Linked DNA regions of Anolis sagrei. The protein of the gene in region 2 binds, or shares a complex with, the protein of the main gene of each other region. Links are inferred from orthologs where the notes say so. Each region holds a gene or a part of one and is shown on either strand. Other genes may lie near its edges.

Region 1 (7,084 bases), on a different chromosome or scaffold from region 2:
GGGGGCTTTAGACTAAACTAAGCAGATATAGAACGGAATAAGGAAGTGAGGATCAATCATATTTGTGATTTCTCTGTGGAATTTAAAATTGGACAGTAAAGGGGGGGGGGGAATCAAATAATTTGAAATGTAGAGCTAGAAGAGACCACAGACCACTAAAAAAGACAAACATATGGGTCCGAGAACAAACCAAGCCTGGATTCTCGGTATTTTGGTCATAGAATGAGACAATGCTACTTCTTAGGAAAGACAATAACACTTGGAAAAGTGGAAGCAAGAAAAAAAAAGAGAAAATACAATACAGATGGACTGATTCAATCTAAGCAGCAACAGTTTCCCAGAATTTGTAAGATTGGGATTGGGGATCCTGTAGGTTTCTAAGTCAAGAGATCTTCCTAAGTCAACATGCACAGACAGCGAGACAGACGAGTGACACTTACATGGTGCCGCTGTCTTGGTGCCTCTTAGGTGTCACAAAGAGCAGGCGGGTAGGGCGGGCATTGCTGGCATCTGGGTGGGCACTCCAGGGCTTGGCATAGCTGTGATCCAGGAAGACCAGGTCCAGCTCTCTCTCGTGGACCGACAGCTGGAAAAGCAGGGAGGTCCCCATTCTCCGTGCAGAGGTCTGGAAATCGCGTTCGTTGCCTCGGTATGACATGTCTCCACGTCTTTGGCTGCTAACGCCGTTGGGGCAAAGGACTCCTCTTGCCCCTCATCCTGGTCCCTGGCAGGAAAGGAAGAGAGAAGCACCAAGAAATTGGCTTCTTCACACATCTGTTTATTTCTGAGGGGCTGCTGATACAGATTGGAGCCTGGGTCTGTAAATTTAGGATCTGCTATGAGTTTGGGCCTGCAGAAGCACCTCCCAAGATTTCCAGGAGTTCATATTGTGCATTCCTATGCATATAAAAGGTAAAGGTTTTCCCCTGACATTATGTCCAGTCATGTCCAACTCTGGGGTGTGGTGCTCATCTCCATTTCTAAGCCAAAGAGCCAGCATTGTCCGTAGACACCTCAAAGGCCATGTGGCTGGCATGACTGCATGGAGCGCCGTTTTATATATATATAACTATGTATATTTACTATGTATATAGTAAATCCTATACTATGGGACTACCTGGGTCCATAAGGTGACTCAATCCAAATGTTTGAGAAGTGGACAGCAGTATCCTTGGGTTGCTGTGAGTTTTTCAGGCTGTATGACCAGCTTCCGGAAGCATTTTCTCCTGAAGTTCCGCCCACATCAATGGCAGGCATCCTCAGAGGTTGTGAGGTATATTGGAAACTAAGCAATATATGTGGAAGGCCCATGGTGGGAGAAAGAACTCTTGTCTGTTGGAGGCCAGTGTGAATGCTGCAATTACTCACCTGGCTGATTCCTGCCTGGGGAAATCCTTTGTTGGGAGGGGTAAACTGGCCCTGATTATTCCATATTTTCTGAGTGTTGCTCTTTATTTACTGTTCTGATTTTAGAGGGTTTTTTTTAGTACAGTAGAGTCTTGCTTATCCAACACAAATGGGCTAGCAGAATGTTGGATAAGCAAAAATGTTGGATAATAAGGGCAGATTAATGAAAAGCCTATTAAATGTCAAATTACCTTATGATTTTACAAATTAAGCACCAAAACATAATGTTTGACGACAAATCAACAAAAAAAGCAGTTCAACACAGTAACGTTATGTATTAATTACTGTATTTACAAATATAGTACCAAAACATCGCAATGTATGCGGAAACAGAAGAATGGCCTGTCTCAGGGGAGCGTGCTTGCTCCATCCACGTTCAACATCTACACAAATGACCAGCCACTGCCAGACGGGACAGAGAGTTTCATCTATGCAGATGATCGTGCCATTACTGCTCAAGCAGGAGCTTTGAGATGGTTGAACAGAAGCTCTCCGAAGCTCTAGGTGCTCTTACTGCCTATTACAGGAAAAACCAGCTGATCCCTAATCCATCTAAAACACAGACATGTGCCTTTCATCTCAAGAACAGAGAAGCATCCCGAGCTCTGAGGATTACCTGGGAAGGAATCCCACTGGAGCATTGCAGCGCACCCAAATACCTGGGAGTCACTCTGGATCGTGCTCTTACCTACAAGAAGCACTGCCTGAACATCAAGCAAAAAGTGGGTGCCAGAAACAATATCATATGAAAGCTGACTGGCACAACCTGGGGATCACAACCAGATACAGTGAAGACATCTGCCCTTGCGCTGTGCTACTCTGCTGCTGAGTATGCATGCCCAGTGTGGAACACATCTCACCACACTAAAACAGTGGATGTGGCTCTTAATGAGACATGCCGCATTATCACGGGGTGCCTGCGCCCTACACCACTGGAGAAATTACACTGCTTAGCCGGTATTGCACCACCTGGCATCCGCCGGGAAGTAGCAGCCAATAGTGAAATGCTATTCTCTCCTGACGTTTTGCCTGCATCTATGGCAAGCATCCTCAGAGGTTGTGAGGTCTGTTGGAGCAAAGAAAATTGGGTTTTTATATATATGTGGAATGTCCAGGGTGGGACAAAGAACTCTTGTCTGTTGGAGGTAGGTGTGAATGTTTCAACTGACCACCTTGATTAGGATTTGATGGACTGGCAGTGCCTGGGACAATCTTTTGTTGAGGGGTGATTAGATGTCCCTGATTGTTTCCTCTTTGTTGTTTTGCTGTTGCAATTTTAGAGTTTTTTAAATACTGGTAGCCAGATTTTGTTCAATTTCATGGTTTCCTCCTTTCTGTTGAAGACCCTCTGAAGGTGCCATTTGCCACAGATGCAGGCGAAACGTCAGGAGAGCATGATATTGGAACAGGGCCGCTGTTGAGTATGTGCAGAGTTGCCCAAAGGCCTTTACTCACCTTTAAGAGCGGCCTCGATCCCGACGGGGCTTGAACGGAGAGACGTTGAGGGAAGAGGAAAACAAGCAGGCGAGACTCTCACTTTAGCCCCGGCCGCCAGCCAGGCAGGCCTCAGCCTCTTCTGCGCATGCGCGCTTCTTTTTTTTCCCCCTTCGACGCTGATTGGACGCCGAGCCTCCCCTGTCCCGACGCGGTGACGTCACCCCAGCACGTCGGCGCAAAAAAACGGAAGCGGATGTTTAACCGACTTTGGTAGGAAGGGACTCGAGGGAAGCGCCTCGTTGGAAGCAGAGGCCTGAGGAAAGGAAATGGGAAAGAAGAACAAGCTACCGGATAGGTAAGAACGTGAGACCGGATTACACAGAGCCTTCCTGGCCCAACCTGAAAGAAGGGAGAGCCTAGGCCAGGCATGGGCCAACTTGGGCCCTCCAGGTGTTTTGGACTTCAACTCCCACAATTCCTAACAGCCGTTAGGCTGTTAGGAATTGTGGGAGTTGAAGTCCAAAACACCTGGAGGGCCCAAGTTGGCTCATGCCTGGCATCGAAGGTAAAACTGAAAAGAAAAATGGGTTCCTCTAAAACTGTGGAGACCAAAATCCACTGATTGTGGTAATGTGAAAGTATTTAAATTAATGTATTGTCGAAGGCTTTCATGGCTGGAATCACTAGGTTCTTGTGGTTTTTTTCGGGCTATAGAGCCATGTTCTAGAGGCATTTCTCCTGACGTTTCGCCTGCATCTATGGCAAGCATCCTCAGAGGTAGTGAGGTCTGTTGGAATTAGGACAATGGGTTTATATATCTGGGCTCTCCAGGCCAATGGAGACTCCACCTCAGACATCAGAAGAGCTGCAAGACCAAGAACAAGCCACAAGAGTAAAGATGAAGATCCACCCAGAGGAAAAGTGTTCCTGCCATACATCAAGGGAACCACTGATTGCATAGGGAAGCTGATGAGGAAACACAACATACAAACAATCTACAAACCCACCAAGAAAATCCAACAAATGCTACGTTCAGCAAAGGACAAGAGGGATCCTCTCACCTCTGCAGGAGTCTACCGTATACCATGCAGCTGTGGACAAGTTTACATAGGGACCACCAAACGCAGCATTGCCCAAACACGAATCAAGGAACTTGAAAGGCACTGCAGACTACTTCAACCAGCAGAGCACCTGATGAACCAGCCTGGACACAGCATATTATTTGAGAACACAGAAATGCTGGGCCACACCAACAACCACCATGTCAGACTACACAGAGAAGCCATTGAAATCCACAAGCATGTGGGCAATTTCAACAGAAAGGAAGAGACCATGAAAATGGACAAAATCTGGCTACCAGTATTAAAAAATTCTAAAATTACAACAGCAAAACAACAGAGAGGAAAAAACCAGGCACAGATTAACACCTCCCAGCAAGAGATTTTCCCAGGCTCAGGCAGGCCTTCAAATGCTAATGAAGGTGATCAGTTGAAACAGTCACACCTAGCTCCAGCAGGGAAGAGCTCTTTGCCCCACCCCAGCCATTCCACAGATATATAAACCCATTGTCCTAATTCCAACAGACCTCACTACCTCTGAGGATGCTTGCCATAGATGCAGGCGAAACGTCAGGAGAAATGCCTCTAGAACATGGCCCTATAGCCTGAAAAACCTTCAAGAACCTAATAATAATAATAATAATAATAATGTAATAAAACTTTATTTATACCCCGCCACCATCCCCCCAAGAGACTCGGAGCGACTTACATGAGGCCAAACCCAACAACACATCACAACAGAAAAGCAATAACAACAATACAAAGCAATTCAATATAATATCTATATAAATAAAAATGTAATCTTCGTTTGTGGGATAAACAGAACTCAAAAGCCACTGGACGAATTGACACCAAATTTGGACACAAGACATCTAACAACCCAATGTATGTCCTTCACTCAAAAAAATTGATTTATCATTTTATTATTTATTTACTTTACTTATAGACCGCTGTTCTCAGCCCGGGGTCGACTCACAGCGGTGTACAACAAACAAGAACAGCAAGATTCAAAACTACAGAATAAAAACAATTCACAACCTAACACTATACACAGTTAACACCATTACTATGATAACCATTCAGCGTCGTGTCATCATCCAAAACATAATCCAAATTTGTCTTCCGTTGTTCCATTCCTATATTCATTACCAATCACTGCACTAATTATTCGAACACCTGCTTGAACAGTCAGGTCTTCAATTTCTTGCGGAATATCATTAGAGATGGTGCTAGTCTAATGTCCGTGGGAAGGGTGTTCCACAGCCGAGGGACCACCATTTATCATTTGGGAGTTGTAGTTGCTGGGATTTATAGTTCACCTACAATCAAAGAACATTCTGAACCCCACCAACGATGGAATTGAACCAAACTTGGCACACAGATCTCCATATATGAACCCACACATTCCCTTCGATCATCTGGAGAGGCCCTGCTCATGATCCCACCTGCGTTGCAAGCGAGTTTGGTGAGGACGAGGGACAGGGCCTTCTCTGTGGTAGCCCCCCGACTCTGGAACACTCTCCCCAAGGACATCAGACAAGCCCCAACATTGGCAATTTTTAGGAAGAGCCTGAAGACCTGGCTGTTCCAGTGTGCCTTTCCAGATTAGGAAACTCCTGGCATCATGTCCCAAATGCACTTTGTTAGAGACTAGGATTGTCTGCACATTGAACCTACCTCCAACAAACCTCTACATACCTCCTGTCAAGTTCAGCACTTTTAAATTTTGTCCATTACATTTGGCCCGGCCTTTTAGATTTTAAATGCATCATGTGTCGTTGTTTTTAGTGTTTTATTGTCTTAGCTTGATGTTTTATTATTTGCTTATGAGTTTTATGTTATATTTGTATGTTGTTGTTGCGGCCTTGGCCTTTGTAAGCCGCATCGAGTCCTTCGGGAGATTTTGCGGGGTATAAATAAAGTTAATAATAATAATAATAATAATGACCAACAGAAAACACTAGAAGGGTTTGGTGGGCAGTGTCCTTTGGTTTTGGAGTTGTAGTCCACCTACATCCAGAGATCACTGTGGACTCAAACTGTCGAGACACAGACGCCTTAAAGGGGCCACACAAAGTATTAGTTCCAAAGTACAGTTTAATGCAACAAAAACACAGAAGCTCAGAGACGCTTAACTTCAGTGCCTCTGGCTAAAACTCAAAAAATTAGCCAACCTTGGTTTAAAAAGCAAACAGAAACATAATTCGGATTAACCAGAGAAAAGAACTGGATTAAATGCAGTACTTAGTGGCAAACAAACAACACCGCACTCAAACAGTTAACAGCAAAGATAAACCGCCGAAAGAGTAACCAAAGCCAGACAAAGTCCAAGAGTCGTCATAGGTGAAATCCAAAGAAGTGTCGTTTCCAAGTCCGTCAAGCAGTGTCATCGTCAAACCAATCTGAGATCCAGGAAGGGAGAAAACCACACTCACGAGAAGTCAGTCCAAGTCGAACACACACAGGAACTCCAGGCTGCAGAACTCGGACCCAAAGCCCAACACAAAAACAGGCAGCGACAAAATCCACACAATACACAAATGTAACCGACACTTTGACTTCTGCAAAGATTCCCCAATTCAGAGCCTACTTTTATCTTACACATTCTCAAAGGCTAGTTTAAACATCCAAGACTTCAAATCCCTATAAAAGGAAGACAGTGTGGGTACCTGCTTGTGTCTTTCAGACTCTTCATCATACATTAGATTGCTTTTGTACCCAATAATCTGAAATGACTTCAGTGTGGTGAGTTAATTAAGCTGTGCCCCATAAATGAACCCAATAGTACACATAGGAAGACAGCAGCTAGATAATGCATGTACAATTAATATACCAAATTGCAAGTGCCAGAGCAAGCTTTAACTAATGTAACATTTCTGAAGTTTGGCCAAGTAATCTATACTGCTCCAGACATCAGAGTTCGATTCTGTGCTCAGGTGCTCATTCCTGCACTTTCAAGAATGTGCAAAAAATAAAGGCATAGAAAGGAATGCAGAGCAGCAATAAATGTTAATCCTAAAAACATTTAAAGTCAACGTGGACCCAATCTCCACATAAGTATAAGCCGAAGTGGGAAATGCAGCAACTACTGGTAAATTCTGGTAACATCCCTAATAGATTACTGCAACACGCTCTACGTGGGGCTGCCTTTGAAGACGGTTCTGAAACTTCAGTTAGTTCAA
Region 2 (7,362 bases):
CAAGCACCTTTGTATCCCTAGGGATGTCCCGCTTAGCCCTTCTAATAGCCGAGGCCGAAAATTCCACATATTCAATCTGTCTATACAAGAGTAAACATACACTAATACATTAACATTTTGGTGCCCTCTCAAGACATCCCAAAACTACCGCCTCAGCCATTGTGCCTAATAGAAGCCATCTAAGTATGTGTTTTCCATTTCTGTTATCTCTTATCTAAATAGCCAATGTGGTATAATGATTTGAATATTATGCTAGGACATTGGGAGACCAGGCTTCGAATCCTCACCCGTCCTGGAAACCCAATAAGGCCACATCTACATAAACAATGTAATGCAGTTTCAAAGATTGTTTTGAAAAATCACCACAATATTTAGTACACCAGGCAGGGGCCAAATTTGGCCCTCTGGGTTTTTTGGACTTCAACTCCCACCATTCCTAACAGCCTCAGGCCTCTTCCTTTCCCCCCTCAGCCGCTTAAGCATCTGAGGAGGAAAAGGAAAGGGCCTGAGGCTGTTAGGAATGGTAGGAGTTGAAGTACAGAGTTGAAGTACAGGAGTTGAAGTACACCCAGAAGGCCCAAGTTTGCCTGAGGGGAAAAAGGAAAGGGCCTGAGGATGTTAGGAATGGTGGGAGTTGAAGTCCAAAACACCCAGAGGGCCCAAGTTTGCCTGAAGGGGAAAAGGGCCTGAGGCTGTTAGGAATGGTGGGAGGTGAAGTCCAAAACACCCGGAGGGCCCAAGGTTGCCTGAGGGGGTAAAGGAAAGGCCCCAAGATTGCTAGGAATGGTGGGAGTTGAAGTCCAAAACATCCAGAGGGCCCAAGATTGCCTGAGGGGAAAAAGGAAGGCGCCTGGGGCTGTTAGGAATGGTGGGAGTTGAAGTCCAAAACACCCTGAGGGCCCAAGTTTGCCTGAGGGAAATAGGAAAGGGCTCGAGGCTGCTAGGAATGGTGGGAGTTGATGTTCAAAACACCCGGAGGGCCTAAGTCTACCCATGCCTGTCCTACACTTTCCAGTCACCCCTTAAAACTACTTACTACACAGGGCCATATAACCCAGAATATCAAGGTGGAAAATAATAATAAAACTAATAATAAAACTTTATTTATATACAGCTCTATCTCCCCAAGGCGACTCAAGTAACAAACACCAAAACATACATAAACATAATATTATCAAAACAACACAAATATATTAAAAATAATCCTGCCTATTTGTGCTTGTGACACAACACTGTTATAGTACAAGTTTAGCATCCTTTATCCAGAGACTGAAAATATTTCAGAATCAGAAATTCTCTATTTAAGTGTCTTAAGATAGTGGTGCTTTTGCTTTCTGGTGGTTCAGTGGACATATACTTTGTTTCAGGCACACAAGGATTAAAATATTTTACCCCTTCAGGTTCTGTATATAAGATGTGCACGACACATACATGGAATTTCATGTTCAGACTTGGCTCCCATCTCCAAAATATCCCATCATGCCCATATATACAATACAGGCAGTGCCCAAGTTATGAGGAAGTTAGGTTCTGTAGGTCTGTTCTTAAATTGGATTTGTATGTAAATTAGAGCAGGTTCATTTTTTTAAGCGTAACTCCATCCAAATGTGTGTCCAAATATGTGTGTGTCTGTATTTGAAGCTTGAAACCACTTTAATTGCCATATAAAGGTAAAGGTACAACACAAAGGTAAAGGTACAACACATATAAAGGTAAAGGTACAACACAAAGGAACAACACAAAGGTAAAGGTTTTCCCCTGACATTAAGTCCAGTCATGTCCAACTCTGGGGGTTGGTGCTCATCTATTAATATTTATTTATTTACAACTTTTATATTCCGCCCTTCTCACCCCACAGGGGACTCAGGGCGGATTACAATGTACACATATATGGCAAACATTCAATGCCAATTTGACATACAAACATATACAGACATACACAGAGGCTATTTAACTTTTTTCTGGCCACCAGGGGAGCTGTCGCTTTCATCGTCCATCTGCGACGCTGATGAAGCACTTCCGCATTCCCTGCATGCTTCCCCGCTGGAATGCTTTGCTGGAGTCTTCTTTATGGCCTCATAAATCAGTTAATTTAGCCTCCCCACACTTTAAGGTTGTACCTTATTTTCCTACTTGACAGATGCAACTGTCTTTCGGGTTGCAAAGGTTGACAACAGGCTACACACAATTGTTTGGAAACCCACTCCAACCCGGGCTGGCTTCGAACTCATGACCTTTTGGTCTGAGTGATCTTAATGCAGCTGACACTCAGCCAACTGCGCCACAATCCCGGTGCGCTCCATTTCTAAGCTGAAGAGCCGGCATTGTCCGTAGAATCATAGAGTTGGAAGAGACCTCATGGGCCATCCAGTCCAACCCCCTACTAAAAAGCAGGAAAATAGCATTCAAAGCACCCCTGACAGATGGACATCAAGCCTCTGCTTAAAAGCCTCCAAAGAAGGAGCCTTCACCACATTCTGGGGCAGAGAGTTTCACTGCTGAACAGCTCTCACACTCAGGAAGTTCTTCCTCATGTTCAGATGGAATCTCCTTTCTTGTAGTTTGAAAATCCCACAATATATGCTTTAAACTGTGTTATCTGAGTCCTGCCATACAGGCCTGTAGCGAGGGGGGAGGGGTTAGGGGATCAACCCCCCCCCCGAAATGTTTCAGATTTTTTTTAAAAACCTGGTTTACTCATGAATTTTAACTGGTGAACCAAATCCCCATGCTAAGTCTATGAGATGCAAAAAATTAAGAGTCCCTCCAGAACTGTAAGCACTATCTCAAGCAAATATTGACAATTTATTCACACTGTCATTACTTGCAGGAATAGCCAATGTTGTGAAGCAACCAAGTTGGGGTGTGTGTGTTGAATGCTCTCATTAAGGAGGCCAGACTTGGTGGAGGTGGTTGACAGGGGCGGAGCTGCAGGCTATTGAAGGCTGCTCTGCCCTTTGCTGTGCTCTTTGCTTCAGCGTGAGCTAGGAGGCAGGCTTCAACACCCCCAGGGCAGCTCACCCATTACGCAAAGTAAGCATTTGCAGTATAGTTGATTTTGCCCAGGGGCGCTCTTGAGGAAAATAGACATTGACATATGCAAGTTGTAGCTACTGGGATGTATGTTGTTGTTCATTCGTCCAGTCGTCTCCGACTCTTTGTAACCTCATGGACCAGTCCACGCCAGAGCTCCCTGTCGGCCGTCACCACCCCCAGCTCCTTCAAGGTCAGTCCAGTCACTTCAAGGATGCCATCCATCCATCTTGCCCTTGGTCGGCCCCTCTTCCTTTTGCCTTCCACTTTCCCCAGCATAATTGTCTTATTTATTTATTTATTTACTTTGCTTGTATACCGCAGTTTCTCACCCCGTAGGCGACTCAACGCGGTTCACAACAAGAGCAAAAAAGTCAATCGTACAACATACAATATTTAAAACCATTAACAGCCTAGTATACAAATAATGACACATCAATAACAACACATTAGCATCTCGTAACTAAAATCGTGATCCAATTCGTCATCCATAAATCCGTTCCTATATTCATCGTTCAATTGCACTATTTATCTGAACGCCTGTTCAAACAGCCAGGTTTTTAGTTTTCTTCGAAACACGATTAACGAAGGGGCAGATCTAATGTCCATGGGAAGGGAGTTCCACAGCCGAGGGGCCACTACAGAGAAGGCCCTGTCTCTCGTCCCTGCCAGCTGTGCTTGCGATGCAGGCGGGATCGAGAGCAGGGCCTCCCCAGAAGATCATGGCGCTCCTTTATCTTCTCTAGGCTTTGCTGTCTCCTCATGATGTGGCCAAAGTACTTCAACTTTGTCTCTAGTATCCTTCCCTCCAGTGAGCATACATACATACTGGGATGTATAGTTCACCTACAATCAGAGAGCATTCTGAACTCCACCAGTGATGGAACTGAACCAAATATGGCACACAGAACTCCCACAACGAACAGAAAATATATATCAGTGATTGGTTGGGGGGGTGGGGTGCCAAAATACTGTTTGCTTACCGTTGAAAATTACCTAGGGCCGCCGCTGAATTACCTAGGGCCCCCCGCGAAATTTTCAACCCCCCCCCCCGAAAATTTCAACCCCTCCCGAATATTTTTTCTGGCTGCGGCCCTGCTGCCATATATCCCAGTTCAAAGAGAATCATGTGGGATTTTATCCAGCAGCGTCGAAGGGCCGTCCAAAAGTCAGCACCAACTCCCTGTGTTCTGCCTCAGAGAGGAAAAAGGCTGTGAAGTGACTGACAGTTGGTTCCCTTCTTAGGCCAACCGTCGTCCCGTTGACGCCACGCCCCCTCGCCTTGGCCACGCCCCCTGGAGGACCCTCCTTCTTCTCTCTCTAGGCAGGCGGGCGAGCGAGCTAGGGGCGCCGCAGCAGCCGTGGCGGCCATTTTGTGGCGCTGCTGCTCACAGCGGAGCGCGCGCGCGGAGGAGGAGGAGGACCCGCTCCCTCGCTCGCGCCTCTTCCCGCGCGAGACCCCCGGTAAGGACATGGCGCTCCTTCATCATCTTCCAAGTCGTTGTTTGGATGGAGGGAGAGGGGAATAGAAAGCGTGGCTCCCTCCGCGGCCCTCACAAAGGCGGCGGCGGCGGAGAGGGGCGGGGACCAGCCGCGGTTGTGACTGTGGGAGTCCCGGGGCCTGGGAGGGGTGGAAGGGTTACTTGTGCCGCAAGGGAGCCTCCCTCACGACCTGCTCTTCAGGGAAAGCGAAGGAGGGAAGCTGGGTAGCGGGCCCGCGGGCGCCTCTAGCCGGGCGGGATGTGGGCGTAGGGCTCGGCGGCCTGCTCTCGTGTGAGAGGCCGCTTCCTCTCCTCTCCTCGCCACGCGTCCCGCCCTCTTCCTTTCCCTTTCCCTTTCCAACGGTGGCCCGCAGCCAAAGGGGAACGGCACCAGCTGCGCCTTCCTTGAGCCTTCTCCGGGATGATGGCTTTCGAGGATAGCCGTAACGTGACCTTGATCTTCACCAGCCACGCTTCGGCATCAACCCCTGTCAGACCCTTTATGATTAGACCAATGTGGGTTCTGCATTAAGCCTACACATTAACCCCTTTCAGAACCATTATCGTGGCCAGCGTGGGTTCTGCCTTATCCACACACATTAACCTTTTGCAAAATCTTTGTCATGACCAATATGAGTTCTACATTAACCCCACACATTAACCTGCCCCCCTTCCAGCCAGGACCTTTATCATGACCCTTGTGGGTTCTTTGCTAATCCCACGCATTAACCCCTTTCTAAACCTATAAAGAACCTATACCAGGAATGATAAAGGTTTAGAAAGGGGTTGGTGCATGGGATTAACACAGAACCCACAGTGGCCATAATAAAGGTTTAGAAAGGGGGTTATTTGACACGACAAATAAACCCCTTTCTAAACCTTTATTATGGCCACTGTGGGTTCTTTGTTAATCCCATGCACCAGCCCCTTTCTAAACCTTTATCATTCCTGGTATAGGTTCTTGGCTCTTTATTAACCCCAAGCATTAACCCCTCTCAGAACTTCTATTATGACCAGTATGGGTTCTGCATTAACCCCACACATTAACCCCTTTCTAAATCTTTATCACAACCGAGGTGGGTTCTGCGTTAACCCCTTTCAGAACCTTTATTATGACTGGTGTGAGTTCTGTTTTAACCCCACATATTAACCCCTTTCAAAACCTTTATCACAACTGATGTGGGTTCTGCAGTAGTCTCACACATTAACTTCTTTCAAATCGTTTGTCATAACCGGTGTAGGTTCTTAATTAATCCCATGTGTTAACTACTTTCAGAACTTTTATTATAACTGGTGTGGGTTCTGTGTTATACACAATATTAACCTTTTTCAAAACCTTTGTCATGACCAATATGGGTTCTGCATCAACCCCATACATTACCCCATCAGACCCTTTATCATGATACTTGTGGGTTCTTTGCTAATCCCATGCATTAACCCCTTTTTAAACCTTTATTATGGCCACTGTGGGTTCTGTGTTAATCCCATGCATCAATCCCTTTCTAAACGTTTATCATGCCTGGTATAGGTTTTTTTTATTAACTCCACACGTTAACCCTAAGCATTAACCCCTCTCAGAACCCTTATTATGACCAGTATGGGTTCTGCATTAACCCCACACATTAACCCCTTTCTAAATCTTTATCACAACCGAGTGTATTCTGCATTAACCCCCTGCATTAACCCCTTTCAGAACCTTTATTATGACTGGTGTGGGTTCTGTATTAACCCCATGCATTAACCCCTTTCAAAACCTTTGTCATAACCGGTGTAGCTTCTTCATTAATCCCATGCATTAACTACTTTCAGAACTTTTATTATAACTGGTGTGGGTTCTCATTAACTCCTTTCAAAACCTATATCATAACTGATGTAGGTTCTTTATTAACCCCACACATTAACCCTTTTCAGAACTTTTATTACAACTGGTGTGGGTTCTGTGTTAACCCCACACATTAACCCCTTCCAAAATCTTTTATCATAACTGGGGTGGGTTCTGCATTAACACCCCACACATTAACTCCTCAGTGTGCATCAGTGCTCAGTGGTTTCTATAATCATAACCTCAAACTTGGTTTCAAGATTTTCTTTGTAAGCATTTGCATAACAAAATTTTTATTTATTTATTTATTTGGTGCATTTGTTAACCGCCATTCTCAGCCCTTTAGGGCGACTCATGGCGGTGTACAACATACATAAAAAGGCAATTTACAAAAAGGCAATTACAGAACAACATATTAACAATACAACAATTATAAAGTTACACTAAATAATCCGCTTCGTCTCATAGTGGAATCATAACCAATCTCATATTCCTTGTTCCATTCCAGTCATCTTTACCACATTATTATAGCACTTAATTAAATGCCTTCTCGAACAGCCATGTCTTAAGGCTTTTTCGGAAGGACATGAGGGAGGGCGCCTGTCTGATGTCTGCAGGGAGAGTGTTCCACAGCCGGGGGGCCACCACCGAGAAGGCCCTCTCTCTCGTCCCCGCCAGACGTGCCTGTGAGGCAGGCGGGATCGAGAGAAGGGCCTCCCCAGACGATCTCAAGGTCCTCGTGGGCTCATAGGCCAAGATGCGGTCCGAAAGGAAAACCACTTTCTTCAGTACTGGTTTGAATCTGCATTAAATGGCTGGCCTAGATGGGGCCTCAGTGGGCTTCCATGAGAATTTGAACTATGGTCTCCCAATGTTCTAGTACAACATTCAAGCCACTTTATCACACTGGCTCTTTAGATTGGGGCCACCTTTTTTCTTTTATATGATAAAATTGTAGCACTGGGTTTTATTTTCATTTGCGTAGTAGCTGTCTTTAGTCAGTATCTGTTTGAGAGCAATTTTCTG
Region 3 (7,837 bases), on a different chromosome or scaffold from region 2:
CAGTGCCTTTCGTGTTCCTGGATTCTTGTTTGGGCGCTGCGTTTGGTGGTCCCTATGTAGACTTGTCCACAGCTGCATGGTACACGGTAGACTCCTGCAGAGGTGAGAGGATCCCTCTTGTCCTTTGCTGAACGTAGCATTTGTTGAATTTTCTTGGTGGGTTTGTAGATAGTTTGTATGTTGTGTTTCCTCATCAGCTTCCCTATGCGGTCAGTGGTTCCCTTGATATATGGCAGGAACACTTTTCCTCTGGGTGGATCTTCATCTTTACTCTTGTGGCTTGTTCTTGGTCTTGCAGCTCTTCTGATGTCTGAGGTGGAGTATCCATTGGCCTGTAGAGCCCAGTTGAGGTGGTTCAGTTCATCTTGGAGGAGGTGGGGTTCACAGATTCTTTTTGCACGGTCTGCCAAGGCTTTGATGGTGCTTCTTTTTTGACTTGGGTGATGGTTGGAGTTTTTATGTAGATATCTATCTGTGTGTGTGGGTTTTCTGTAGACGGTGTGACCTGTCTGTGTTCCTGCCATATATCAAGGGAACCACTGACCGCATAGGGAAGCTGATGAGGAAACACAACATACAAACTATCTACAAACCCACCAAGAAAATTCAACAAATGCTACGTTCAGCAAAGGACAAGAGGGATCCTCTCACCTCTGCAGGAGTCTACCGTGTACCATGCAGCTGTGGACAAGTCTACATAGGGACCACCAAACGCAGCGCCCAAACAAGAATCCAGGAACACGAAAGGCACTGCAGACTACTCCAACCAGAGAAATCAGCCATAGCAGAGCACCTGATGAACCAACCTGGACACAGCATTTTATTTGAGAACACAAAAATGCTGGACCACTCTCACAACCACCATGTCAGGCTACACAGAGAAGCCATTGAAATCCACAAACATGTGGACAATTTCAACAGAAAGGAAGAAACCATGAAAATGAACAAAATTTGGCTACCAGTTTTAAAAAATTCTAAAATTAAAACAACAGAGAGAAAAACAGGCAGGGACATCTAATCACATTTCATTAAGAGTTTGCTCCAGGCACAGTCAGCCCATTGTATGCTAATCAAGGTGGTCAATTGAAAAGATTCACACCTAGCCCATCTTACAAAAGCCTTTTGTCTCACCCTGGTCTTTCCACAGATATATAAACCCTCTCTTTTTTCCCAGCTCCAGACCTCACCCTCTGAGGATGCCTGCCATAGATGCAGGCGAAACGTCAGGAGAAATGCCTCTAGAACATGGCCATATAGCCCGAAAAAACCCACAAGAACTGAGTGATTCCGGCCATGAAAGCCTTCGACAATACAATGTAGATTTATCTTGTACAATGGACTTCTCCTGAGATGGGAGAATTTATAATGACTGCTGGTTTTACTGCTGGGTCTATGGACCGCAATAAATATTGTTGTTGTTCTAGATCTGGGATATTTGGCACACAAAACTCCCATTACCAACAGAAAATACTGGAGGGTTTCTTTTTTTTTGGGGGGGGGGGGAGATTATGAGAGCTGCAGCCCACCCACATACAGAGACCATTGTGATCCTCACTGATGATGGATCTGGACTAAACTTGGCAGACAGATCCCTTATGACCAACTGTAAATACTGCGGGGTGGGTGGAAGGGGGCAATGGCAGAAGGTGAGTGGTAGTTTATCCACATCCTTACACATTTTCTAATGGAACTATTAATAAAACCGAAAAAGTATGCATGACTTTTATCCTTACCAAATACAAAAGCTGGTCATCACTGGGTACCAATGGTAAAGGTTTCCCCTGACATTAAGTCTAGTTGTGCCCAACTCTGGAGGTGGTGTTTATCTCCATTTCTAAGCCGAAGAGCCAGCATTGTCCGTAGACGCCTCCAAGGTCATGAGGCCAGCATGACTGCATGGAGTGCTGTTACGTTCCACTGAAGTGGCACCTATTGATCTACTCACATTTGCATGTTTTCGAGCTGCTAGGTTGGCAGAAGCTGGGGCTAACAACGGGAGCTTAACCTGCTCCCGGGAATAGAATTGCCGACCTCTCTGTCAGCAGCTCAGCAGCTTAACTCGCTGCACCACCGGGGGTTAGTATATAATTAAAGTGAATGTATGTGTGTGTGTGTGCATGCATGTATGCTTATACCACAAAGGCTCTTCTATAGCTTGATGGATCTGGACCAAACATAGCACATGTGCCTATCATAATCCAATTTAAAATAATTGAGGGGTTTTGACTAAAAAAACAACAACTAGAGGTGAGGGAAAGGAACAAAGCAGATTGGCTGTTGCTAGGTGAAGTGGCTCTCTGTCACGTGACTGAGAGGGAAGGGGGAGAGAGGGAAGGAAAGAAATAGAAAGGCTTTTAGGGGCCTCCCAGGCGCCCATATCATTCCCATAGAGAAGTTACATGGTAGGTAAGTTCTGAAGAGCCACGGAACCAATGCAGGCGCAGATAACGCCGAGTGTACTGGCTAGTTTGAACTAAGGAACACCACTATACTCAGCGCCCACGGGTGGAAGCAAACCTCCGCGGATACCGAGAGCTCACTGTAAGAAGTAGCAGCCACCCTTTCCCAATTTCCATCTGAATTGGATCCATTTTCCAGGCCTCCTCTGCTTCAACGCCCTCGAAGGCGAGGCGCGCGTTCCTGCCTCCTTCCCCTGTGTCCCCTCCCTCGTCTCCCTTGGCACCAGGCTTACTAACTACAGATCGCCTGTTTCCAGCAGGGAAAGCAAACGAAGCCGTTGTTTTAACGGGTAGACGTGAAGTACAGGCCCTGCCCCTAACCAGCTGAGTAACAGGGACCCTTTCCTTGTCTTTCCGCCTCCTTCGGCCATTACAACCGCTCTCAGGCCCAGACAATCCGAGCAGGCCTTCTTCTCCCCGCCGCCTCACCTCGGGCCCCTCCGCCGCCATCTTACCTTCCCTCTCGTGTTCTCAGCTCACACCTTCGCAAGGCCTCCAGCGCTCGGCTCGCCGACCAATCCGAAGACGGCCTGAGCACGGCCGCGATTGGTTAAAAGAGGCGTCACTCAGATGAGGTGGAGCAATGAGGTGCCGGTCTTCTCTCCTTCCTTCCTTCTCCCCGCCCACTGAACGATACAGGCTAATGGACATTGCTCAGAGCGGGAAGAGTCCGACTGGTCTATTGGCTGCGATGCTTGTCGCGTAAGCAAGGGCGGGGTTTGAGGTTGAGTGACAGCAGGGCGGCCGCGTGCTTTCCCTTCCGCCGGAAGGAAGGGCGCGTCTCGCTTTTTTAGGTCCTTTTGAAACAGGAAGCTCTCTAGGTTCTTGTGGGTTTTTTCGGGCTATATGACCATATTCTAGAGGCATTTTCTCCTGACGTTTCGCCTGCATCTATGGCAAGCATTCTCAGAGGTAGTGAGGTCTGTTGGAATTAGGAAAATGGGTTTATATATCTGTGGAATGACCAGAGTGGGACAAAGAGCTCTTCTCTGTTGGAGCTAGGTGTGAATGTATTGTCGAAGGCTTTCATGGCTGGAATCACTAGGTTCTTGTGGGTTTTTCGGGCTATAGGGCCATGTTCTAGAGGCATTTCTCCTGGCGAAACGTCAGGAGAAATGCCTCTAGAACATGGCCCTATAGCCCGAAAAAACCCACAAGAACCTAGGTGTGAATGTTTCAACTGACCACCATTAGCATTTGAAGACCTGGCTGAGCCTGGGGGAATCTTTTGTTGACACAGCATATTATTTGAGAACACAGAAATGCTGGACCACTCTCACAACCACCATGTCAGACTACACAGAGAAGCCATTGAAATCCACAAGCATGTGGACAATTTCAACAGAAAGGAGGAGACCATGAAAATGAACAAAATCTGGCTACCAGTATTAAAAAACTCTAAAATTACAACAGCAAAGCAGCAGAGAGGAAACAATCAGGCACATCTTAACACCTCTCAACAAAAGATTCCCCCAGGCTCAGCCAGGCCTTCAAATGCTAATGAAGGTGGTCAGTTGAAACATTCACACCTAGCTCCAGCAGAGAAGAGTCCTTTGTCCCACCCTGGTCATTCCACAGATATATAAACCAATTTTCCTAATTCCATCAGACCTCACTACCTCTGAGGATGCTTGCCATAGATGCAGGCAAAACGTCAGGAGAAAATGCCTCTAGAACATGGCCATATAGCCCGAAAAAACCCACAAGAACCTAGTGATTCCAGCCATGAAAGCCTTTGACAATACAGGAAGCTCTCTCTTTAAATACAGCCGTCCCTTTGTATCCGCTGGAATTGGGTTGCAGGGTCTTCGTGGATGCAGAAGGCGTCCCTTAGGTAATAGTATGAAAGCTGGGTCCGGAAGTTGAGAGGAACATGAGAACTGTGTTTCAAGATTTCAAAGGGTGTCCCATTGAGGAGGAGAAGGGGGGAAACTGACTTTCTGTTGCTCTAGAGACCAGGCCACAAGGGAGCAATGGTTTCAAATGGCAGAAAAAGAGTTTCAAACTGAAAAGATTAGGAAGAACTTCCTGGGGAGTAGCATAGGCTACCTGAGTGTGGTGGAGTGTCTTTCTCTGGAGGCTTTTCTGTAAAGGCTGTCTTCCAGGAGTGCTTTGATTGTACCTTCTTGCATGGCAGGGGGTTGGACTGGATGGCCCTGGGGGTTCTCTTCTGGCTCTAGGATTCTGTATCAGGAGGAGGCAATACGGAGTCTAATTGATACACTTTTCTCTCTCATCCACCATCTCATCCTGACCCAATTAGCATTCAAAGGTTTCTGGTCTCTCCTTCACTTTCTGCCTCCGAAAGGGGAGTAAAGGGCACGGAGGTGGCTTGGTGAGAACCCCCTTCCTCCTGGTCCGCCCACCCCACTCCAGCCCGCCATGAGGGCCCCAAGTTCGAATGCTTTATACACGCATACACATATTTTATATTAAAAACCTAACTTTACCTTTTGTATGGCTACGGTGGTTTACAGACTTCTTAGATTTGCTAAATACCTTCATTCACACACATTCTGTATCCAAGCCCTAAGTCGGTTTATCTTTCATTCATGATGTGGCCAGAGGTTGATACCAAGCTTCTTAAACCATTTTCCACTCATGACCCCTTTTTGGATCGAAAAACTTTTTACATGACACTAAATGGGTATAGAAATCAGGCATGATAACAAATCAGTATTTGCAAGGCTTGCTAATCAAGCTCATTTTTTCATTTCTGTGTACGTCTGAAGTATTTTTTGCCAAGTCCACTGTAAACACTGCAGATTTGTATAAATGTTCAGAAATTTATCGCAACCTTGATGTTGAGCCAAGGGGACCCCATTTGAGGTCTTCACCCAGTTTAAGAAGCAGTGCTTATGCCACTGGCAGCCTACAATAAACATTTGAATGCTTAGGTTCATGCTCCCATCGTTCTACTTTCCATTGCCCTGCCTTCAGCATTTTGTGAACACAGGACATATGGCAATGTGTGTGTGTAGCAGGTTCATTTCAATTTGGGAACAGAAAACCCAGGACACCTATGCCAGCCACGTAGCAGTTAAATGAGCCAATATTTTAATGCCAAGTGGTAACTGGCATTACTACTTGGCAACAACTTCCTCATATACAGCGTGGCTGATGGCAAGGTGACTTGGTGGTCCCTCATTCTTAGGACATGATGGAGCAATAGATTCAAATTGCAGAAAAAGAGATTCCACCTAAACATTGGGAAGAACTTTCTGACGATAAAAGCTGTTCAGCAATGGAATATGCTGTCTTGCAGGGTAGTGAACTTTTCTTCTCTGGAGATCTTTAAGTAGAAGCTGAATGACTATTTGATTGTGGGTTTCTGGATTGCTGCATGATCTCTTCCAACTTCATGGTTCTATGATCACCTTAAGTCAAAATCAACCTGATGGCAGTTAAACATCTCGTATACCTTGACAGCAATTCCAATTATGTACACATCCTAAGCCTACCTCTTTGTATGAAAACAGTGGAGGGCATTTCCACTAAACCATCTGCATAAAGCCTCATTCCAAGGCTAGATGATAGAAATACATCCCTATCTATCAGCACAGGAACAAGACGGAGAACACAGCCACAGATTTTATTAATTAGAACTCAGACAAAACAGTGGCACACACATTGGGTTGCCAGCAACTCAGCCATTTAATTGGAATAGATCTCATGGGCCGCCAAATCCAGTTCCCTCCTCAGTGCAAGATCAAACATCTCGAGAAGGAAGCCATCTAGCCTCTTTCTGAAGGCATCCAGAGGAAGAGACCCCACCACCTCTCTAGGCCCTAGGCAGTTGGTTCCATTGCTGAACACTTCAAATGCTCAATCAAAATCGAACTGTTAAATCTGGTCCAACCTTCTAGAGCTGCAGAGGGTAGGCCTTCCTTGCTGCAATAGCACTGGTATTTAGACTACAATCGTGTCACCCCTCAGTCTTCTCTTCACCAAGCTGAACGTGGTCACCTCCTTCAGCTTCTCACATTTTGCTCTCCATATTTCTTATCCTCATTATCTATCTTTGCTTCAACCCATAATCCTTTAAATGAGGTACCTGGAATTGAATGTAGATCAGGGTTGATCAGCACAGAATATAGTGGGACTATTACTTTCCTCAACTTGGGAAACTATGGTTCTATTAATGTAGGCTAGAATAGATTTCACCTTTTTTGCTGCAGCATCACACTGCTGGCTTGTGTTCAATGTATGATCAACAATCATCCCAAAGTTCTTTTCAAATGTTGTACGGCTGAGCCAAGTATCACCAGCTTCTGGGTTTTGTGCTCTATATGTAGAATTTTCAATATATACTATTGACTTCCTTTAGTATCTAATTTTATACTTCAACAAGTTTCTTCTGAAGTGTTCCCATCCTCCGGTGTGTTGACCACCCCTTCCATTTTTTAGCCATCTGTAAACCTGCTAAGGATTTCCTCTATCCTGTCATCTGAATAACTGATAAAAATTTTCACTTGTAAAAGCGCTGGAAGAGAAACCCGAAGCTCTCCACTTGAGAACTCCTTCCAGTTTGAAGCTACTGATGACGACTTTTCAAACAGTGTTTTCAACCAATATTATGTAACAAAATTTGAAAAAAAAATGTTTCTGGGTTTTATTTTGTGAAGATGTTATTTCCTGTTTAATTTTGCAGTACTTTCTTGGGAAGTAGTTTTTATATTCCAGAAACTTTGTTTTTGTGGCTTCTACAAACTATCCTGAATGGTTGAGACTCTGTGAGACACTCATTGAAAAACTATGTGCTGTAGGATATACTGCAAAAACTCAAGTGTTTGTAGTTTAATATTTTTTTCTGTTTTTATGACAGAACCAATTAGAAAATGACATTTATAACTCAGGAACAAAAAATTGTGTTGCATAGTGTAATAGTTCCATCTGACAGCGTTCTTATCTATTCCACACTGATTCAGATTTCCAATCAAATTATAGGGGATAATTATAGGGGATTGACATAATGTTGCTTGCAAGGGTGTAGACTGCCACATAGAACAAACTATTCTCAGGGAATCATCCTGGTCTCTGCAGCTGGCCTGTATGAGCTCAGAAAGCAGACCTTTGTTGTTTTCCTGTGCAACTGATTAAGTGCACAAAATGCCCTCCCCAGAATTTACCCCTCAAATCTACATAGTTTGAGGCCAGAGATACAACCCCGTGCTATACAACTTTTGTGGCTAATGGTTTTTATCTGCTGGTAACATTGCGTGCACTAAACTACACCATATCCAAGGCTGTCATGACAATATGAGTACAGGTGGAGAGAAGATAAGTATTTCTTGCATCAGATTTGATACATAGCAGGAATGGACAGATGCAGTGGGCCCATACTTACTCTGGACCCCATGGATTGAACATCCACTTTC
Region 4 (7,193 bases), on a different chromosome or scaffold from region 2:
TAAATGCTAGTGTCTCTATGTATATATCATTAGTGGATTTTAGGAAGTACACAACATCCACAGGCTGATAAAATTTAATTGTTTTGAAGATTTTAAAAAGGTATCTTAGTTTTGCAATATTCTTCCGTAAAAATTACAACTCTAGAACAATAAAAATGGCAGATTCCTTATTTCTACCTCCATGATATTCTATGAACATTCCTCCCTATGATTTGTAATAGGTCCAGGGGACCCATGTGCTGTCCTTCGGACTTTCTGGGGATTGCACAGGCCACCCAAATATACTCTTCTCCCAAAACCAGAACTTTACTTCTACTTGACAAAAAATGTATTTTTAAACAGTGTGGAGGACTGGCAGGCAGGAAAAACAGAGTCATGTGCAGCCCCAATACTGCACTTTACCCAATCTCTGTCCTAAAGCTTAAAAAAATTAATAATGGGATGTCCAAGCTACAATTCTAAGGGAAAGAAACTTAAGCCCCGAACTATCTAGAAACAAGATACCCAAAGACCCAAACATAATCCTCATATTTATATAAGCAACCTTCAGTTGCTCAGGTGTTCAGAAATTTTAAACTAGTGTCCTATAGACCCACTTACCTGAACTCAGGCCGCATTTACACTGCCATATAAAATTCAGATTATCTGCTTTGAACTGGATTAGTCTATACTGCCATGTAATCCAGTTCAAAGCAGATCATCTGATTTTATATGGCAGTGTAGATGGGGCCTCAGTGAGAGACTTGTTTCTGACTTGTCACTATAGGGCCACATCGGTTTAACTCAGTCACTACAAATTGTTTATAATAAAATATCTCCCCATTTTGTAGGACTGATTGAGAAAGAGGAAGTAGTGATATCTGTGTGTGAGAGATTTTAGGTTTGAGAGCCCTGGCTCAAATGAAGGCCTCATCTAAACTGACCATTTAATGCAGTTTAAAGCTAGCTTCAAACCGCAGCAGCCAGGCAACAAAATTCCCACAAAAGCTGCAGAAATAAAGCATTAATGTGCACCAATGCTCTGCACACCCTCCAGGCCTGAAACTGGTTCCAGGATTTCCTACTGAATGATCCGCTTTGAAACAGCATTACACGCTCAGTCAAGATGAGGCTGAAATCTGGAATGGGTGCCCTCAGAAAGGCGCTCCCACTATTGCAAAACCTTAATTTTCTGGTGATATTAGGACCCACATCAGAGGCAGGGCCCTTGAGAGCCGGGCCTTGGGCAAGATGACAAACAGGGCCTGCTTCCTTCCTTCCAAATTGGGTTTAGTAATGGATGGTTGGCCTTCTTTTCACCCACCGGGCCAGTCTTCTCTTCAGTGGGGCCTTAGCCACCCCTTTCCCCTTATTCTCCCTGCCTTGAGTTTCCTATTTGGAGCAGAAATACCCACACACAGGAGAGTGCGAAGGAGGAGGAGGAAGAGGAGAAGGAGGAGGGACGGAGAGGCTTACCTTCCCTCTTGCAAACCGCCTCCAAAGGCAGACAACTTCCCAAAGTTATTTTTATATATATATATACTAGCCAACCCCTGCCACGCGTTGCTGTGGCCCAGTCTGTGTATATGTGTTTTGTGTGTGTATATGTGTGTTTAGGTCTGTGTATATATTTGTGTATTTATATGTGTATACGTGTTTATATATTTGTGTGCTTGGTGTATGTGTATTTGTGTATATATATGTCTGTATGTGTGCATGTGTATATGTATATTTCTGTGTTTATATGTGTATATGTATATTGTGTATATGTGTGTGCTTGGGTGTATGTGTATATTTGTGTATATATATGTCTGTATGTATGTGTGCATGTGTATATGTATATTTCTGTGTTTATATGTGTATATGTATATTGTGTATATGTGTGTGCTTGTGTAAATGCATATATATGTATGTGTATATGTATGTGTATAGGTGTATATGTGTATAGTTGTGGGTGCTTGTGTGTATATATATATGTCTGTCTGTATGTGTGCATGTGTATATGTATATTTCTGTGTTTATATGTGTACATATATATTGTGTATATGTGTGTGCTTGAGTGTATGTGTATATTTCTGTATATATATATGTCTGTATGTATGTATGTGTGCATGTGTATATGTATATTGTGTATATGTGTATAGTTGTGTATATGTATGTATGGTTTATTGGGGGGGGGGGGTTAAAGTCCGTTCGGCTGGGTTTTTTTGTGTGTTTTTAGGGGTGATGGACACTCATTGGCGTGATTGGTGTCTTGTGGCCAAATTTGGTGTCAATTCGCCCAGTGGTTTATGAGTTATGTTAATCCCACAAACGAACATTGCATTTTTATTTATATAGATTTCATTTATTTATTTATTTTGCCTTACACCCATCACCTTCCCTTAATAGAGATCTGTGTGGGAAGGAGGGGGGACAGGCTGTTCCACGACCACGCTCCCCCCCCCCTCAAAAAAACAAATAAACCCGTCCACTAACTCCTCTCCTTTCCTGGCCTGGCCCTATTCCTTCCCCCCGGCCACCCCATTGCCTCTCCTCCCGCTCAAAGTTGCCAGGAGTCCAGGAAGGGGCTTCTTCCTCGACTTGGCCTGGACTCGAAGCGAGACTTGCTTCTTCCCTTGGCATCTCTGAGGGGAGGAGGAGGAGAGTGGCGACGGTTGGAAGGAAGGGGGTGCCTTCTCCCCCAAACCCCTTCCTCGTCCTTACCAGGGGAGCATGCCTCTGCAACGTCACGCCCCCAGCCCCCCTTTCCCCTCTGCCATCCTTGCCGCTTCCTTGGCCCCCTCATGGCACCCCCTCCGCGGGCTCAGCCAGACCCACCTACCTGCCGAGAGAGAGGGAGAGAAGGGGACACCCTCTCCAGGCACAGCCTCTCCCTACTTGCCCTCAGAGTCGCGCCCGCTTGGCAACCTGCTCCCAAGACCCCCTCAAACACCTACCTGCACAGCTCAACCAGCCTTGAAGTGGGGTGGAGGGGGTGGGAAGTCTTCCGCCCTCCTCCGCTCCCCATTGGCTGACACCAAGGCCTAAGCCGTCGCGGTTGGCAGAAGGCGTGTCCGTCAACGGCGAAAGGGCGGGGCTTGACGAACTGGGGAGTAAGGGGGAGGGGGTGATGCTGATACCTCAAGGCTTCTTTTGCCTGGTGGTTCTTGGGCATGAGAGGAAATCGAGAGGGGCTGGGGGGGGGGGGGGGGGGAATACCTTCCTCGGTTATTCAAGCCCCCCCCCCCCCAATGTTTCCCCTCAGGCCCCCCACTCTGTGCTTCAGCCAGTCCCAGGAGTAGCCTAAAAGGCAACAGTCAAAGAGCAAAGCATTCCAATAGGCTCAGCCTTAAAGCAACTCCTCTGTCAGATGGAGAAGGAGTGGATTGGGGGAAGGAGGGGAGGGGGGTGCCATTTGGAGAGGAAAAGCGGAGGCTTTACCCTTACAGACCGACCAAAATTCTCCTCAGGCCCTGAAGAGGAAGAGACTTCCATAATTCAAACACACACACCAACGGACCAGGAAGCGTTTCCCACTCCCAAATTTCTCCTCAGGCCCTGAAGAGGAGACTTCCATAATTCACACACACACCAATGACCAGGAGGGGTGTCCCCTCCCAAATTTCTCTTCAGGCCCTGAAGAGGAGACTTCCATAATTCTATACACACACTCACAGTCACACTCTCCAATGGACCAGGAAGCATTTTCCCCTCCCAAATTTCTCCTCAGGCCCTGAAGAGGAGACTTCCACAATTCACACACAGACCAATTACCAGGAAGGGTTGTCCCCTCCCAAATTTCTCCTCAGGCCCTGAAGAGGAGATTTCCATAATTCTACACACACACACACACACACCAATGGTCCAGGAAGCATTTCCCCCTCCCAAATTTCTCCTCAGGCCCTGAAGAGAGACTTCTATAATTCTACACACACACACACCAATGGACCAGGAAGTGTTTCCCCCTCACATATTTCTCCTCAGGCCCCAAAGAGGAGACTTCCATAATTCTTCACACACACAGACACACACACACACACACACACACACACCAATGGACCAGGAAGCGTTTCCCCCTCACATATTTCTCCTCAGGCCCCAAAGAGACTTCCATAATTCTCTTTCTCTCTCTCTCACACACACACACACACCAATGGACAAGGAAGCGTTTCCCCCTCACAAATTTCTGCTCAGGCCCTTAAGAGGAGACTTCCATAATTCTACACAGACACACACATCAATGGACCAGGAAGCATTTCCCCCTCTCAAATTTCTCCTCAGGTCCTGAAGAGGAGACTTCCACAATTCACACACACACCAATGACCAGGAAGGGTTGTCCCCTCCCAAATTTCTCCTCAAGCCCTGAAGAGAGACTTCTATAATTCTACACACACACACCAATTAACCAGGAAGCGTTTCCCCCTCACATATTTCTCCTCAGGCCCCAAAGAGACTTCCATAATTCTCTCTCTCTCTCTCTCACACACACACACACACTCACACACCCCAATGGACGAGGAAGCGTTCCCCCCTCACAAATTTCTGCTCAGGCCCTGAAGAGGAGACTTCCATAATTCTACACACACACACTGCAATGGACCAGGAAGCGTTTCCCCCTCACAAATTTCTCCTTAGGCCCTGAAAAGGAGACTTCCATAATTCACACACAAACACACACACACACCAATGGACCAGGAAGCATTTCCACCACATACATTTCTCCTCAGGCCCTGAAGAGAGACTACTATAATTCTACACACACACACACACACACACCAATGGACCAGGAAGCGTTTCCCCCTCACAAATTTCTCCTCAGGCCCTGAAGAGGAGACTTCCATAATTCTATACAAACACACACTCTCACACACCTCAATGGACCAGGAAGGGTTTGCCCCTCCCAAATTACTCCTCAGGCCCTGAAAAGGAGACTTCCATAATTCACACACAAACACACACACACACCCATGGACCAGAAAGCATTTCCCCCACATACATTTCTCCTCAGGCCCTGCAGAGGAGACTTCCATAATTCTACACACACACACACACACACACACAGCTCAATGGACCAGGAAGAGTTTCCCCCTCCCAAATTTCTCCTCAGTCCCTGAAGAGGAGACTGCCATAATTCACACACACACACCCCAATGACCAGGAAGCGTTGCCCCCTCCCAAAATTCTCCTCAGGCCACGAGGGGGAGATTTATAATTTTCTTTCCCCCCCCCCTCCCGCCCATATAGAACAAGGAAGGGTCGTCCCTCAGGCCCTGAGGAGAGGACTTATCATTCTCTTTTTCCCCCATAGGTTACAAGAAAGTGTTGCCCTTTCACGAATTTCTCCTCAGTCCTTGAGGAGGGGACTTATAATTCTCTTTCCTCCCCATAGGTTACAAGAAAGTGTTGCCCTTTCACGAATTTCTCCTCAGTCCTTGAGGGGAAGACTTCTAATTCTCTTTTCCCCTCATATAGAACAAGGAAGAGTTGTACCTTCACAAATTTCTCCTCAGGGCCCGAGGAGGGGACTTATAATTCTCTTTTCCCCCCATCGGTTACAAGAAAGTGTCGCCCTTTCACGAATTTCTCCTCAGGCCCTGAGGGGAAGACTTCTAATTCTCTTTTTCCCTCATATAGAACAAGGAAGGGTCGTCCCTTTACGAATTTCTCCTCAAGCCCTGAGGAGAGGGGTCTTATGATTATCTTTTTTCCCCATATGGAACAAGGAAGTGTCACCCCTTCATAAATTTCTCCTCAGGCCCTGAGGAGGGGACTTATAATTAATTACCACCACCACCCCACCCATATAGAACAAGGAAGGGTCGCCACTCTCACAAATTTCTCCTCAAGGCCTGAGGAGGAGACATATAATTCCTTTTCCCCATAGGTAACAAGGAAGGGTTATCCCTTCACAAATTTCTCCTCAGGACGTGAGGGGGAGACTTATAATTCTCCCCCCACCCACCCTCAGAACAGGAAAGGGTTGCCCCTTCACAAATTTCTCCTCAGGCCAGGAAGAGGAGACTTCCATACTCCCCTTTCCCCCTCATTTTGAGAAAGGCCTCCCCAGAAACAAAACCCCACAAAGGTTGCCCCTGCCATCCTTTTTTGGGCTCAAAGTAAGGGAAAAGGGAAATAGGTGTGACATGCCAAGTTAAAGCCCAGGCATCTTGAAGTGGATGTTGGGGAGGGGGAGTCCAGGCACAAAGTGACTGTGGGTTACTGCTTTACTCTGGCTATCAGCCTAGTTTTTGTGATAACAACAACACAGGATACAGCATAATTAAAATACATAGATAAATCAAATGACCATAAAATACGTGTATTAAAAACATAGAATATGTATATCTTGGATAATAAGTACAGTCAAATAATGCAACAAATGACAATTGGAAAAGAAGACACAAGGCTGCTTGGATGGCTTTTAATTAAAACTGGACAGTGCAAATGGATGAATCAATCAATTAAACTTTATTTATATCCTGCCCTACCTTCCCAAGGAAACTCAGGGCGGCTTACAACAAAATAAGAGTGGCAAACATTCAATGCCAACAATAATATATAAACAAATAAAAAAAACAACTCAATAAATCATAAGACAACTTAAACCAAATGTGACACAGTACACATAATTACAAACATATTAAATCCTTAAAATCTCATTAAAACAGGTTTTTTTTGTCATGTCAGGAGCAACTTGAGAAATTGCAAATCACTTCTGGTGTGAGAGAATTGGCTGTCTGCAAGGATGTTGCCCAGGGGACGCCCGGATGATAAGCTGTCAATTAAAGTCACAGCAGATATCTTCAACACTACAGTTTTACCGGCAATTATATACACTTCTGAAATATGGGCAACAACAAGGTTAGAGGAGGAAAAACTGGTGGTGACTCAGAGAGCAATGGAAAGAAGGATAAGATAAAGTCAGCAATAAAGAGCTGTGTCAAAGAACTGGGGTACGTGACGTGGTCAATTAAATCTATGAAGCAAAAATAAGATTGACAGGGCATATAGTACTAACAAACGATAGCCAATGGATATGTCAACTGATGAACTGGATCACAATAGACTACAAGCAGTGCCTCTTGGGCAGATCTCATATTTGATGGGACAAACCAATGGTTAAGATATTCAGCCAGAAATGGAAAAGAAAAAGACAGGATCGTATATTTTGGAAATGGTAAATTTGCATTAAGCCCAAAGGAGTGAATTGACAACAAATTGGATAGGATAG

Evidence for each region.
Region 1: PHF20 (region 2) and KANSL3 share a complex: the UniProt entries of both Homo sapiens proteins name them as parts of the NSL complex. The link is inferred for Anolis sagrei from reciprocal best matches to the Homo sapiens genes PHF20 and KANSL3.
Region 3: PHF20 (region 2) and KANSL2 share a complex: the UniProt entries of both Homo sapiens proteins name them as parts of the NSL complex. The link is inferred for Anolis sagrei from reciprocal best matches to the Homo sapiens genes PHF20 and KANSL2.
Region 4: PHF20 (region 2) and KANSL1 share a complex: the UniProt entries of both Homo sapiens proteins name them as parts of the NSL complex. The link is inferred for Anolis sagrei from reciprocal best matches to the Homo sapiens genes PHF20 and KANSL1.

Annotation. Positions count from the first base shown.
Region 1 is NC_090027.1:22,755,893-22,762,976, reverse strand, and holds the start of KANSL3 (KAT8 regulatory NSL complex subunit 3), read right to left. Parts: upstream 3,004-7,084; 5' UTR 2,863-3,003; intron 725-2,862; 5' UTR 659-724; coding exon 441-658; intron 1-440. Other genes in the region: DUSP11 (RNA/RNP complex-1-interacting phosphatase), read left to right, coding at 3,171-3,199. UniProt on the Homo sapiens protein: Non-catalytic component of the NSL histone acetyltransferase complex, a multiprotein complex that mediates histone H4 acetylation at 'Lys-5'- and 'Lys-8' (H4K5ac and H4K8ac) at transcription start sites and promotes transcription initiation.
Region 2 is NC_090024.1:207,253,609-207,260,970, forward strand, and holds the start of PHF20 (PHD finger protein 20), read left to right. Parts: upstream 1-4,361; 5' UTR 4,362-4,497; intron 4,498-7,362. UniProt on the Homo sapiens protein: Methyllysine-binding protein, component of the MOF histone acetyltransferase protein complex.
Region 3 is NC_090022.1:137,522,448-137,530,284, forward strand, and holds the start of KANSL2 (KAT8 regulatory NSL complex subunit 2), read right to left. Parts: upstream 3,004-7,837; 5' UTR 2,915-3,003; exon of another isoform or gene 2,889-2,914; intron 2,874-2,888; exon of another isoform or gene 2,781-2,873; intron 1-2,780. UniProt on the Homo sapiens protein: Non-catalytic component of the NSL histone acetyltransferase complex, a multiprotein complex that mediates histone H4 acetylation at 'Lys-5'- and 'Lys-8' (H4K5ac and H4K8ac) at transcription start sites and promotes transcription initiation.
Region 4 is NC_090026.1:44,096,627-44,103,819, reverse strand, and holds the start of KANSL1 (KAT8 regulatory NSL complex subunit 1), read right to left. Parts: upstream 3,002-7,193; 5' UTR 2,919-3,001; intron 1-2,918. UniProt on the Homo sapiens protein: Non-catalytic component of the NSL histone acetyltransferase complex, a multiprotein complex that mediates histone H4 acetylation at 'Lys-5'- and 'Lys-8' (H4K5ac and H4K8ac) at transcription start sites and promotes transcription initiation.